Linked DNA regions of Drosophila melanogaster. The protein of the gene in region 1 interacts with the protein of each later gene in a pairwise test. Each region holds a gene or a part of one and is shown on either strand. Other genes may lie near its edges.

Region 1 (7,805 bases):
GAAAAGATATAGCTAGAGGAATGTGCGAGTACGAAATGTATCGAAATGTATCTCTGAGATGGAGCTGCGATTAACTACTTGTGGTCTAAACCAACGACAACTTACAGAGTTCTCTTCTTCCTAGCAACAACAAAAAACACTGAAAATCACTCGCGAAACGGAGGAGCAACAATTCGCTGATTGAACGGACTGGGAATTACTATTGGATTTGAAATGTATATATATTTTCACAGGTTCACAGGTTTCGGGCAACTTTCACTTTCGGTTTGGGAAACTTAGGGAACTGAGCAGCCTACACTCGCTGACGATCTGCGGAGCTATGAGCAGCAGCATCCGCCTGAGTTGCCTACGAAGCTTTTCGCATCCAAAAAATGGCTGCCCATATACCACTACAAGCGTACCTATGTATATACATACTACTCCTCAATCTCTTGCATAACCTTCAGCGACAACGACAACAACAGTGGGGCTGAGGAAAATGCGGGAAATTCTCCGGGTGACGTCATTGATTTTTCGGAAACCATCTTTGTTAAGGCCATTTTGCGTGGGCGGAGCTTCGGCCATGCGCGCCCCAAAGTATCCAACAGATACACATGAAATATGTGCGCACGCCTGGTGAATGCTAAAGAAATAATAAAACGGGATAAAGGGAAAGGAAAATATAGATTGTGATGGGGCGACCAAATGAAAAGCTAATTAACAAACTAATTTTGCCACTGTTTCTGACATTTACAATGACCCACAACTTTTTATGAGAGTTTCCTGTCGAATGAAACAAAAAAAAATAACCCTATAATTACTTTCATTTCCCGCATATATGTACATATGTGCGCTTAGATATAGAAGCCAAAGCATATAGATTCCTGGTATATAGAACAAAAACGAAATTTGGGTCAAAGCTAGGCCGCCCGCCCACTTGGGCTATGCAAAATAGATATGTATCTCAGAGTGAAATTGCATCATTTCCAATAGAACGCGTTTCGTAGCATACTTTTGAGGGCCAGAGAACATCTATGGCCATGTTATGCAACTTGGGTAAAGAGCCCAGGAGCAGCAGGACCAAAAAGGACGTCCATCAAACTGGAGAAGCTTAAACAACGAGAACCCTAGGAATACTTGCCGCAAAAGAGTTCCACCCACTCCACTTCCATTCTTATCTGACACACGGAGCAGCTGGCGTAGGATGTTACCACACACTTGGCACTTGGCACTTGGTCCTGCTGCTGCTCCAGCTCCTGCTCCCTGGGCAGGATCCAATGCGTCAGCGTATTTTCGTTGCGAGGGCTCTGGCACTTGAAAAGTGTCTTTCGATGTAACTGATTGCAACTTAAGAAGGCCATTACAGTGGCAATAACTCCCTTGCTAGTCCCTGTGATCCATCTTTTTTATTGAATGCCTGCAATATTGGCAAAATGAAGTCGACACTTGTTCAACATGACTTTCAAAACATTCTCATAGGGCGTAGTGCATTACTTTGTAGCACTAGCTAGAAGAAATCCAACGGCAGTTGCAGAAAGTCCATAAAGCCGTAATTGCACAACGAAATCGTTACTTTTGATGTGGCAACAACTGTGTGAAAGGACTTTCTTCGCAGTTTTTTAATTGTTAATTGCTCAATTGCTTTCTTGAAACAATAAAAACATTTTAGAAGACCTTAAGTGACAAATATGGCGCCTAATAGATATGAATTTGCACCCTACGCCTTAACATCTGCGTAACCCTTTAACAAAACCCATCCATCACAAGTGTCAGACAAATATTTCTGATACAAAAACAGCTCATGGTATTTAGAACCACTAAACATGGCGAAATAAAGTCGCCTGCTATCTGAAAAGCACTTCAACGGCATGTGCTACCAATAATAATTAGGCACTCGGTCTGCACTTATCGCAGATATATGGCAAACAGACCAGTCTGAAAAGGAGGGGGGGATCGGGTGTATCTGCGATAGTCTATCCTCTGATTCGCACTTGAATCTATGACACCGGCAGATAAAGCCATCAAAAACATTTATTATTAGTAAGTGGGATTTTCGTTTGGGCCGGTTTGGGCTCAGTTGAACAACTGCTACCATTTGTAGCGGACAGCTTTATATAAATCCCGTCGAGTTAAGGATTTAAGCATTTCGAGCGGAGCAGGTGCCACGAACAATCGGATTTAATTGAGTCAAACTTTTGGAAAAGCACAGTGAGTTGTAACAGGAAACGGAAACAGAAACAGAAACAGTAACAGAAACAGCAGCAGACATGGACAAACAAAAGGATTATGGGTTTAAGCCATTTTAAGAGCGATGTTTAAAATACTCTCAAAAATAATGGTTGCAATACAAGCATGTCGCCTTGCAGTCCCTTTTAAAAGTTATATGTACATTTTTAAGGAATATTTTAGTTAAAAGAATAGTCATATTACTAAAAATAACAAAGCTTTGAAGAACTATTTATTTGATTTTAATCAAACTAGAAAGCTGAAAGGGATTTGTAAAATTATCAAAAAATAAAACTATGCAGTCATTAAATATTTAATACTTCATTATAAACATTCCTTATTATTAATGATAGCAGATAAATAAATTGAGATAGATACTTTGCATCAGTAGAAATAGTTAGACAGGATCGATACCCTTTCATAAGAGCACAACTAGCGAATGGAATTGAACAATGAGATGAGCTCTCGACCAGAAAATAGGATGCTCACCTGGCTGTGATTGCACGTAGCGCAAGTAGGCCCTGTAACCCAGATAGGCGAAAATGTTTGGAGTCAAGTGCCACCCACGGATGCGGATGGAGCTGGGAGCTTGGGTCTGCTATTCTCGGGCGGCTAATTCAGACCGGGCGTTTCTGGCCAGGGCGAAGCGTCCTCTTTGGCACTCGACTCTCAACTGCCAGCCAGAGGCATCAGAAGCACAGTGGGCCAGGGAATGCTCCGCACCCCGGGGGCCATGAACATTTTTCGTTGCCCGTGGAAAACAAATGGGAGTTTGGGAATTTCGACTGTTTAGCCTGTCATTACGCTGACAAAATAAGATTCCAGCAGGTTGGTTAGCTGAGGCATTTATGTGAGGTATTTTCGACGAGAATCCCGTTGCAAAAGCGTTGTCAGGATGCCAGAATGCCAGGATGCCAGGTGGGAGTCTCAGTTGCGTTCGAAAGACAGGCGATTGCATAACCCCTTTCGGTTTGGCAAATCAAGCGAATGATATTCGGATAGCAAATGCTCGGGATAACAATGGTGTAAGGATTAGGCCCCGCAGGCAAGTACCCCAAACGCTGCTTTTTGCTGCCTATTTTTGAGAGCGCGATAATTGCATTTCGAGCACAATTGCTCCTATTGTACGGGGCCAAACAGTCTCCATTTTGGCCCAGTCCTCCCTGGAGGATAATACGCCCCAAACCAGCGTGAAAAACCCATCCCCCAGTTCCGTAATCTACCCATCTCTTTTCAGCCCAGCGATGGGAGAGCGTGTTGAAAAGCGACAGAGAAAAATGGGGGGATGTGGATTACAGCTCGTCATACCATTGGTCACAATCCTCATCCTGGCTGCGCAGGCGCAGGCTGTGACGTCATCGCCCGTCCTGAAGGACGACACTTTGGGGGATGCTGCTCCGACGGCAGCGCATTCAGCAGCCAAAATCCTTGAAGACGTCCAAACCATCAGCGCAGTTCAGGATTGGAGTTTGCTGTGTAAAGAGCTCTGCGGGTAAGTTTCGGATAAACAGCAATCGAAAACTCTAGGAATTACTGAAAGTAAGGTGCCTCGGCGCAAAGTGACTCAAGTGTTTATTGTTGGCAAGTGCAGGTTTCCCCCCAACACAAAAAAAAGTGCAAACTAATAATGATAATAATACGACACATTTACCAACTAAAATGTTGGCCTTGAGAAATCATTTGCAAATCGCGTCGGCCTTTCAAGTGGCTTCCATCGAGGTTTTCCCACAATCGCGTGTGTCAGGGAAATATAATCCGCATTCCTGATGATCGGTGGCTATATCAATGATTCGTGACTCGACTTTTGTGGCGTGTGTGCAGTAGTTTGTCAAGTGCCAAATATGTTAAGTATAAATGGCACTCGAAGTCGCCAGAAGTACTGTGCTCACTTAAAAAATTGAATAGGCTTTAAAAAATAAATTCTAAATGTCGGGTCAAAGCTAATCAAAATTATTTCACAATTTTACGATATATAATTTACAAATATTATTAATTAGAACATTTTGGCTTGCGTTTATATTTAAAATATACTCTGCATTATTTTTTAATTTGGTGTTTAATACTATTTAAAAATGTTTTGAAATAAATATATTTTTTACAAAAAAAAAAAACAGTTTATCAAGTCGAGATTTTCCTAGATCATTTGTGCTATTTAAAACTATGTTATCTGTAAACCTAGTTTCAATAACAATTATGCATATATCATGGTTCTTAACTTGGTAATGCGAGTGTCATATACTGTCATCTTAAATCTTTTTTTTTTTTAATTTACTCTGCATTGCAATTTAATCAGCATTTTATGGTTGATCCTTGCAGAGCTGGCCTGGGCGTTGCTTCAACGCCTGATGTGGCCAAAAACACAATCCTGAGACCGGAGACGGATGTGGCCAAGTGCCGGCAACTGTGTGGACTGCCTAGGGGTAAGTGGAAAATAATATATTGAAACTCTATTCAAAATATTATACTTTAATGATTATTATGGTCGAACTTAAGGTTAATTTGCTTTTTGAAAAATAAACATACTAATCAAATGCACTTATTTACTTCCAGCTAAAGCGGGCGACTTGGTCTGCTCGAGCTTTTGTGGTCAGATGGGTCGCTCCCTGCCCGGATGCAGTCCCTGCCAGCAGGAGGTGCGCAGGATGAGGGTGATGAAGGAGCGGAAGCAGGAGGAGGAGAAGCAGGAGGAGGTTCGAAAGGACGAGGAGAAGGCCAGTGGAGTGCTGGGCGATCCAACACACGGTTCCAGAGCCGCGGAGAATGCCGAACGGAGAGGATCGGTCGAGGAAGCAACAGTGTCCGCAGCTACCGTGGCAGCCGCCTCGGAAACGGACACAACCACTCCGGCACCGGACTGGGACGAAGTGTGCAAGGTGCTCTGCAAGACTGGCGATGGCGGGTCTTTGTGCAACTGTGATTTATCGCCGTTCTTCAGCTGAGCGATCCCCACCTTCCTGAGGGGATCGCTCCCGATGGAGGCGCTAAATCACAAAACCATATATATGGATCGAGAATTATCTGATTATCTGATGTTTTGTTGTTCTTCGTTTTTGAACTTCAGTTAGTGCTATTGTTGTCATGAAAAAGTATCTCCCATATATAATCTATATCGGAAAACGTGTTACGAAAGTTTAGTTAAATACTGTAAAGAGATAAAAACAAAAACTATAGAAAAATCAAAAAAAAAATCAAACAATTCAATATAAATAATACATAGAGAAGAATATACGATGAGGAGGAGGAGCAAGCAAACAAAAAAAATTCCCTATGCGAATCAATTAATTTGTAACTAATTTCAATTACAACTAACTATAGAAAAGCTATAGAGTAAGCAAGGGGGGGGACTTTACCCCCCACACTCGAGAAACAGCAGAATCACGCAGGGCTTCCAGTGCGTCGCCTCGGAGGATGAGGATGCCCTCCCAAAAGGCATCCGAAATCCCCGGGACGGACACAACCCGTATTTAGGTGATTGGTCAAGGAATTGGACTGAGGAGACACAAGAAGAGATATATGAAGATGAACAACCAATTAATATCAATGTACACAACATATCGTGCGGTAAACACTACCCAAAATCAAAAAACAAAAAAAAAAACACCCAATCACATTTATTTGGAATACACCTTGGTTCGATGGAATCAGCATATCAATTTACCACGAGGCAAAAACAAGTTGGTATCTAAAGAATTTCCTTTGTTTTGGCTTACAAGTTATTGGCGAATCTAAAGCATTGAGATATTTCAAATCAGCATCAATTAGGAGTGTCGCAATTAGGCCAAAGTGCCAACCAAGAGTTTAGTGTTGGTTACGGCCCTTAAACGCAAAAGCAACATTTATAAAATATATACTTGTACTTACTAACGAATAACACATGTAATTGGTCTATATATATATCCACAAAATGAGTTGCGATTGCAAATCAGAAACTCAGACGGGCTATACTGGATCTACCAGACCCGTATACATCATATATATATATATATGAATATATATATATACATAAAGCTGTAAACCATAGTTACCATAATATCTAGGTGTCATATTGTTCAGCATAAATAATCGCATATGATGTATTGTATGCATATTATCTGTGTGTTTGGAAGACATTTTTTCGCATTGCATTGAAATGGAAGACAACTTAAATCGCATTCTGGAAGACATGCGTTGCGGCAGCGCCAAAAAGATCGGCCAGCTGCCAAATAGTTTGTAAGATATTCTATATAATAATAATAATAATGAGATTTTCGATTCGAGCTCGAAGATATAGTCAATACAAGCACACGTTGTTGTGGCAAACGCGACGCTGTGACTGACAATAATTAACTATAACTTAGCAGGAGAAGAGCAGGCAAGGAAGTTCGCATACTCAGTGTCTATATATCAGTACTATTGCTAATATTAACCATGCACTACTACTAATCAAGGAAAATGGAAAATAATTAATAAATATTGTATTGCACCAAAGTTATAAGGCAATTTTCAGAGCACATTCATTGATAACCTAATGCGGCTTCAGTATGTATATCGATGTGTAGCAAGTTAATCACTCAGTAATTAATATACGAAATGCACTTTACATTTATGTATATGTATATGTGTTAGGCGTTGCGTTTCTGCCATGAATACAGCGACTAGCGAACCGATCACACGGATTATGCCGGAATAATATCCATAATTCAATAATATATATATACATATATATATATATTTATAACCAACAGACACATCATCATCATCAATTACGAATACCGAGTCGAAAACCGTTTCGAACCGATTATGCCGTTTCGCAGTTTCGTTTCTTTAGTTTTATCCAATGGCCAGGCATTATCTTAGTCGGTAATGTCTGGGGCTATGGTTAAAATAACACAGAAAAATAGATTTAAAGGCAATTTCACAACAGATAACCATAACAGCAACTACACAACCAAATAAAGGCAATTATTATCTTATATACGTTAAATGTTGTAAAGCCCCTCTAAACAAAAAAAAAAACAAGAAAGCCTGTGTTTTATTGGGATGGCTAAGGGGCTCAATAAATATGCAATTCAATTTTTTATTTTATTAATTTTATTACATTTTTTACAAATACCCCGAGTTTTCATTTAATTTGAATAACAAGAACTAACGTAACGTACAATTTGAATACACTGCTTTACCACGTAAGCTTGAGGAACCGTTTCACTGCTTCAACCGTGGCAAGCAGTGCATAACCGCTTGAGCTGCTTTAAACAGTATTTCAAATCAGGGCGCGCTGTCTACATTCTTATCTATATGTGTATAACAAAAAAATTGATTGCTTATTTCTTAGGTACCTACATACATATATTAATTATTTCCCATAGGAGTGCATGCGTATATTTTTCGTAGATATTATTCGCTCTCTTTTAGAAAATATATAAAGCTTAGTATGTATACTATCAACAGTGACTGATAAGCATGATTCCCGTCGAATTTTTAAAAGTGTCGCAGCTTCTGACTTTTAGTCGTTTGGAATTTGTGAGCTCAAGCAAACCATGCTCAAGAACTGGACAATAAATACGTTCCTTTTGGTTTCGTTTCTTTGTAGTGCGACTGGGCAAAATGAAGGAGGAGTATAT
Region 2 (5,073 bases), on another chromosome or scaffold:
TATTGAGCGGTGGGTATCAGTCGAATCACTCCGGTGGCAATGGTAACAAGGGGATAAATCAGAGGCTGCAACTGTGGTTTGTTCGCACTTGCTCCCAGGAGATCTGCCCACAAGCGCAGCGAGTTAATAAATTGCCAGTTGTAAACCGCTTGGAAACTGTCCTTTTTCTTAAGGATCACTGCATTTCGCAGGTGAATGGCCAACTGTCGGATGTAGAGGAAGACATGTTGATAACTGACGTTTAAATCCAACGCGAACATCTCCACCAGCGAGCGGCGCATAAAGTTGATTCCTGGTAAAGTGTTCGGCGACACGAACTTGGAATTGCGTACATAGGCCAGGTACATGGCTTTTAGAACGTGATTCAGCATGGTCGCCTGCAAGAACCATTGGTGTTAGCAGGGGTCACAATAAGTGTCTAGTTCAGAATATTTACCTGCTGTTTCCTGGTTATCTTCAGAATGCAGAGAAAGGCCAGAACACGAACTGTTTCATCTCCAGTGGACCATAAGACAACCAGACGCTTTAATATGGTCTTTCCAAGTGCCGAAAAGGGAACCACCATGCCGGCCATTTGATGCAAATGCTTCAGCAACACGCCCAAGATATTTGGACTGGACACCTGCTCCACCAGACGAATCAAATCGGTGAGGTAGTAGCGCAAACAGCCTCGCACCTTGACCCACTTCTTGTGCTTGTGCAGCGGTAGGCTGCTGTTGGGTCTAACGCCCAGCAATCGAATTATAGCGGGCTGCAGGTGGATTACGCAGAGCTGAATTACTCCATTAAACGCAGCTGCCCCCACTACCTTAAATGCGGCAGCATTATGCTTGTTCTCTCCTCCGTCCGCTCCGTCGGCAGAGATACTAGCCAGAGCTGAATTGAAAGCCTGGATAACCTTGCGGACAATGTCAATAGATATGTTGGCCTGGCCCAATTGCTGTTCCCACTGATGCAACAGGTTGAGGGTGATCTTTTGGATACCTCCAGCTGCCGCATCGTCCTCTTCGTCGACCTCAAAGTCACTCTCATCGCTAGCCACCTCCAAATCCTTGCTGGGTTTGTGGTACTTCTCTTCGTCATCCTCGTCATCCTTACTTTCCTTAGTTACCGTATCTTCCTTGTCTTCCTCATCCCCCTCTTCATCATCATCATCATCTGTGTCCAGTAAATTAAAGTCCAGTAGCTTCTTATCATTATTTTTTAAGAAATCATAAAATTCTGGGTCTATATCTTTAAGCCCTTCAAGCTCCTCTTTGTGGGATTTCTTAAATCCCTTTTTTGTGGTCTTCCCATTCTTCACTGGTTCGGCGACTTTCTGCTTCGGGTTTCTTGGAGTAACTTTCGTTTCAGAGGTTGTTTGCGGTTTCGTCTTCCTGATGGCATCCTTGGCGGGCTTCTTTTTGCTTAGGTCAGGCTTGGATTTGCCCAGGGTCTTAATTTTTTTCGTAGCCAGCTTCATTTTTCAACGTGCAAACTAAAACAAAAATGCACGTGTGCTGTTCAACGGGGCTGCCACGCTGCTGAATTGTGGGCAGTGCTGCCAATGCGTTAGGAAAATAGAGCTAAATACAGCTATAGTAAAAATAGGCAAGTTTTAACAATTTAATTAAAATAAAAACTCATTAACTCATTTGCCAGTTGGACTTCAAAGGCAACACAGTTAGAATAACTATAATACTTATTATTTTAGCTAGACTTTTATCAAATAGTTGTTCTTTGGATTTCAATCCTGCAATACAAATGATTGCCGTATTTCCAAGCAAATTTAATAAATAAATTTTCCAATCAAAGTAAAAATTGTAAATAATTTTGCACCGGCGGATTTCATGTACCTTGTTCACTGTATAAAAAATTGCTAATTATAAATATATATTTAATATTAATATATATATATATATATATAGCTTTCTAGCAACAAGGCATTAATCTGCGAAAAAAATAATCTTGCTTTAAAAAAATCTATAACTTTTGGCGGTTTCTGCTGACGTTTGGTGTTGTTTTGGGCGGTCACTGAAACATCGATGTTTTTGAAATCGATATTTCCATCGAAGTTTGTTCGCCTTTACCGTCAATTGCATTTGCAATTGGCAATTGCACTTGCTTCGCTCTGCAGTGGCACGGGAAACCCGTGAGAAATGGCACGCAAGAGCCACATGTACAACGCAATACCCGCCGGCTTTGAGTCGGACGAGGAGAACATGGAGAACCTAATGAGCAACCTGAAGATCAAGCGCTTGGAGGACATCACGACAGGTGCTGGAATCGACGGCTGTAACTTTGACGCCACCTTGGACGCAAAGGCGGAGGAGTTTTTTAAGCTGTTCCGCGAGAAGTGGAACATGTATAGCAAGAAAAAGTCGCCACATCTGCGCCAGGAATTTGGAAGGGCTTTAATGGGCCATCAGGATCCTTTGCTCCTGGCCCTGAAGATCTTCGCCAACTGCCCAGACAGCAGCAACATCAAGACGAAGAGCTTGTCACATTTTGTGCTGGACACGGTTTGCAAGCTCCACAAGGATTTCCCGCATCTTGGCGAGGGCTGTGATCCCAACACCAGCATGATAGCCTTTAACTTTGTCAAGACCTCCGGCTTGCTGGCCCTCAACAATGCTGTTATCCATGCCTACAGTCTACGTCAGATCCGCGACCTACTGCTTCCCAAGTTGCGCGAACTCCTGGACAACGGGCTTTACAAAGAGGTCACCCAATGGTCCATCAGTCTGCAGTTGACGCACGAGTTCGACATGCTGGAACTGGCTTTCCCGCTGATTGCAATTGAGAAACTACCACTGGCCGAGGAATATCTGGACCATGCCACACAGCAGAGGTTGCCCTTTGTCAAGTTCTTGGATTCGTTGCTGCACAAGGAGAAGTCGGTTTTAGAGCTCTGCGAGCATCTACTCGAGTATGTATTTGAAAAACTGGTCTTGCAATTCATCTAATTCTATCTTCACTTGCAGTCGGTACAAAAATCTCAAAATTTCCCATAACGTGCTCAGCTATCGGCCTATGGCCAAGATTGTGGCGCGACTGGCCAAGAAGTATGGTTTTGACGACGCCGTCACGCCCAACTATAAGTTCACGAAGACGTGCAGCTACTTGCATTACCTTTACCGCGAGTACGAGAAGACGCGCATGAACCTGGCCAGTTTCCGGGAGGTTGTGAGCGTCCATGCCTTTAACCACGAGCTGCGCACGGACTTCGTAAAGTATTTGGCCTCTGCTGGAGCTCATTCTGAAGCCATCTACTGGTACACGGAGTTCAATATTGACCCGAAAGATTGTCCGTTGGAGATCGAGACGCAGGTATCGCAAAACGGTGCTGGAAAAGCGTCAGGCTGGGAATCCCCCGGCAAGGAACGCTGTCCTTCGAGTAGATGTGATATGTACCTGACCATGGACCTGCCCGACGAGTGCCTTATCATTGTGAACAAGGCTGATGAGTTCGATCGTATGTTATACCATCTGCAGCAGGAGTGCGTCATATACCTGGATTCTGAATGGATGCAGAGCGTGTGCGGAGACAATCAGCTGTGCGTGCTACAGATCGCCACCGGCCACAATGTCTACCTGATCGATTGCCTGGCGCGGGAGAGCTTACGCTCGGAACACTGGCGCTTGCTGGGCGCGAATATCTTTAATAACGTGAACATCCGTAAGGTGGGGTTCTCTATGGTCAGTGATCTCAGTGTATTGCAGCGGTCACTGCCCCTGCAACTGCGCCTTCAAATGCCTCACCACTACTTGGACCTTCGCAATCTCTGGTTGGAGTTAAAAAAGCAGCGCTTCGGCGTTGAACTTCCCTTCGGCAATGTTAACCGGGCAGGAGACGCCCTTACGGATCTCTCATTGGCATGCCTTGGCAAGAAACTGAACAAATCAAACCAGTGCTCAAACTGGGCCAATAGACCGCTGCGTCGCGAGCAGATTCTTTATGCAGGTGAGTCAGGGATAGGCCTTTTGATTGAATGTAGCAAGACTAATTTTCTACTTAACAGCCATCGATGCGCGGTGTTTGATGCTGATCTACAACACGCTCATTGAACGCGTGTCCTTCATACAAGCGGTTATCGAAAAGAGCATCGCCAGCAATAACTTTCTCAGGCGGGGTGCCCATGTTAAGTGATTGAGGAGCTGGCCTCTGTTATACCCATGCTCCTTTTGATGGATAGCGATTATCACGAAGACGACAAAGGCGTTCGCCCAACATTTATTAAGTGCAAATGTTATATGTAGTTGCAAAGAGTATTTAACATATATTTAGTGACTAGCCAGGCAGCTGGGTTAGTGCCGAGTTAGGCAGTTTGTACACATGTTACAAATCAGAAGGAAACTATGTGACTGCGAGCAGGATATGAAAGAATGAATTTTATTACGTTATGATTTCAAGCTCACTGTATCTCCATACTTTAAATACTTGCATTATTCCAATTCGTAAATTCGCGTATTATTTGAATTCACGCATGATCAAAACTGAATAAAAGCAATGAATAGGATTGAACAATTGTCGGGAGCTAAAATAGTTAAAATAACATTGGCATCGGAATAATCACATTACAACGTTGTGCGATTATACCAGCGGTGTGGCGTACTTGCTATTCCAGTCCCGCTCGAAAACATTCCGCAGATCGCTTCTTAAGGTATTAGTGGTCTCGGTCTCGAAGGTTTCGCTTAGCACCAGTCCAATGCCAGCGGTGTCCGTGAAGTAGTCTCCACTCCAGTTAGAAGTTCCGATGTAAGCCACTCGATCTGTAACCATGTACTTGTTGTGGTTGACACGGCCAAAGGGAATCTTCTCCTGGCTCGAATCAGTCGGCACTATGAATCGACGAATTTGTATATCAATTTTGTCTTCTTTGGATGCCAAGTCCTGCAGTGACCTGAGATACCGGTCCTCACTGGGATTCGAGTGCTTCCACCACGAAATAAGGAGCTTCACAGCCACGCCCCGTTCTACAGCCGCCTTTCGCAGAGCGTCGTCGATAAACGGCCAATAGTGGTGGTTCTTCTCGTATATGATCAGCGGATAATAGTCCATAACCGCAATATTTACGTAAGTTATGGCCGTGT

Evidence for each region.
Region 2: the proteins of CG14989 (region 1) and Nbr interact in a two-hybrid assay, tested with the Drosophila melanogaster proteins (one large-scale study listed by BioGRID).

Annotation. Positions count from the first base shown.
Region 1 is NT_037436.4:4,085,518-4,093,322, forward strand, and holds CG14989 (uncharacterized protein), read left to right. Parts: upstream 1-2,063; 5' UTR 2,064-2,187; intron 2,188-2,694; exon of another isoform or gene 2,695-3,227; intron 3,228-3,442; 5' UTR 3,443-3,449; coding exon 3,450-3,697; intron 3,698-4,521; coding exon 4,522-4,625; intron 4,626-4,755; coding exon 4,756-5,144; 3' UTR 5,145-7,189; downstream 7,190-7,805. Other genes in the region: CG14990 (uncharacterized protein), read left to right, coding at 7,722-7,799.
Region 2 is NT_033779.5:21,160,068-21,165,140, reverse strand, and holds Nbr (nibbler), read left to right. Parts: upstream 1-2,057; 5' UTR 2,058-2,138; coding exon 2,139-2,908; intron 2,909-2,963; coding exon 2,964-3,943; intron 3,944-4,001; coding exon 4,002-4,129; 3' UTR 4,130-4,505; downstream 4,506-5,073. Other genes in the region: Noc2 (nucleolar complex protein 2), read right to left, coding at 1-377, 437-1,462; Pld3 (phospholipase D family member 3), read right to left, coding at 4,574-5,073. UniProt on the Drosophila melanogaster protein: Possesses 3'-5' exoribonuclease activity. Required for 3'-end trimming of AGO1-bound miRNAs, in particular multiple-isoform miRNAs, which represents a critical step in miRNA maturation.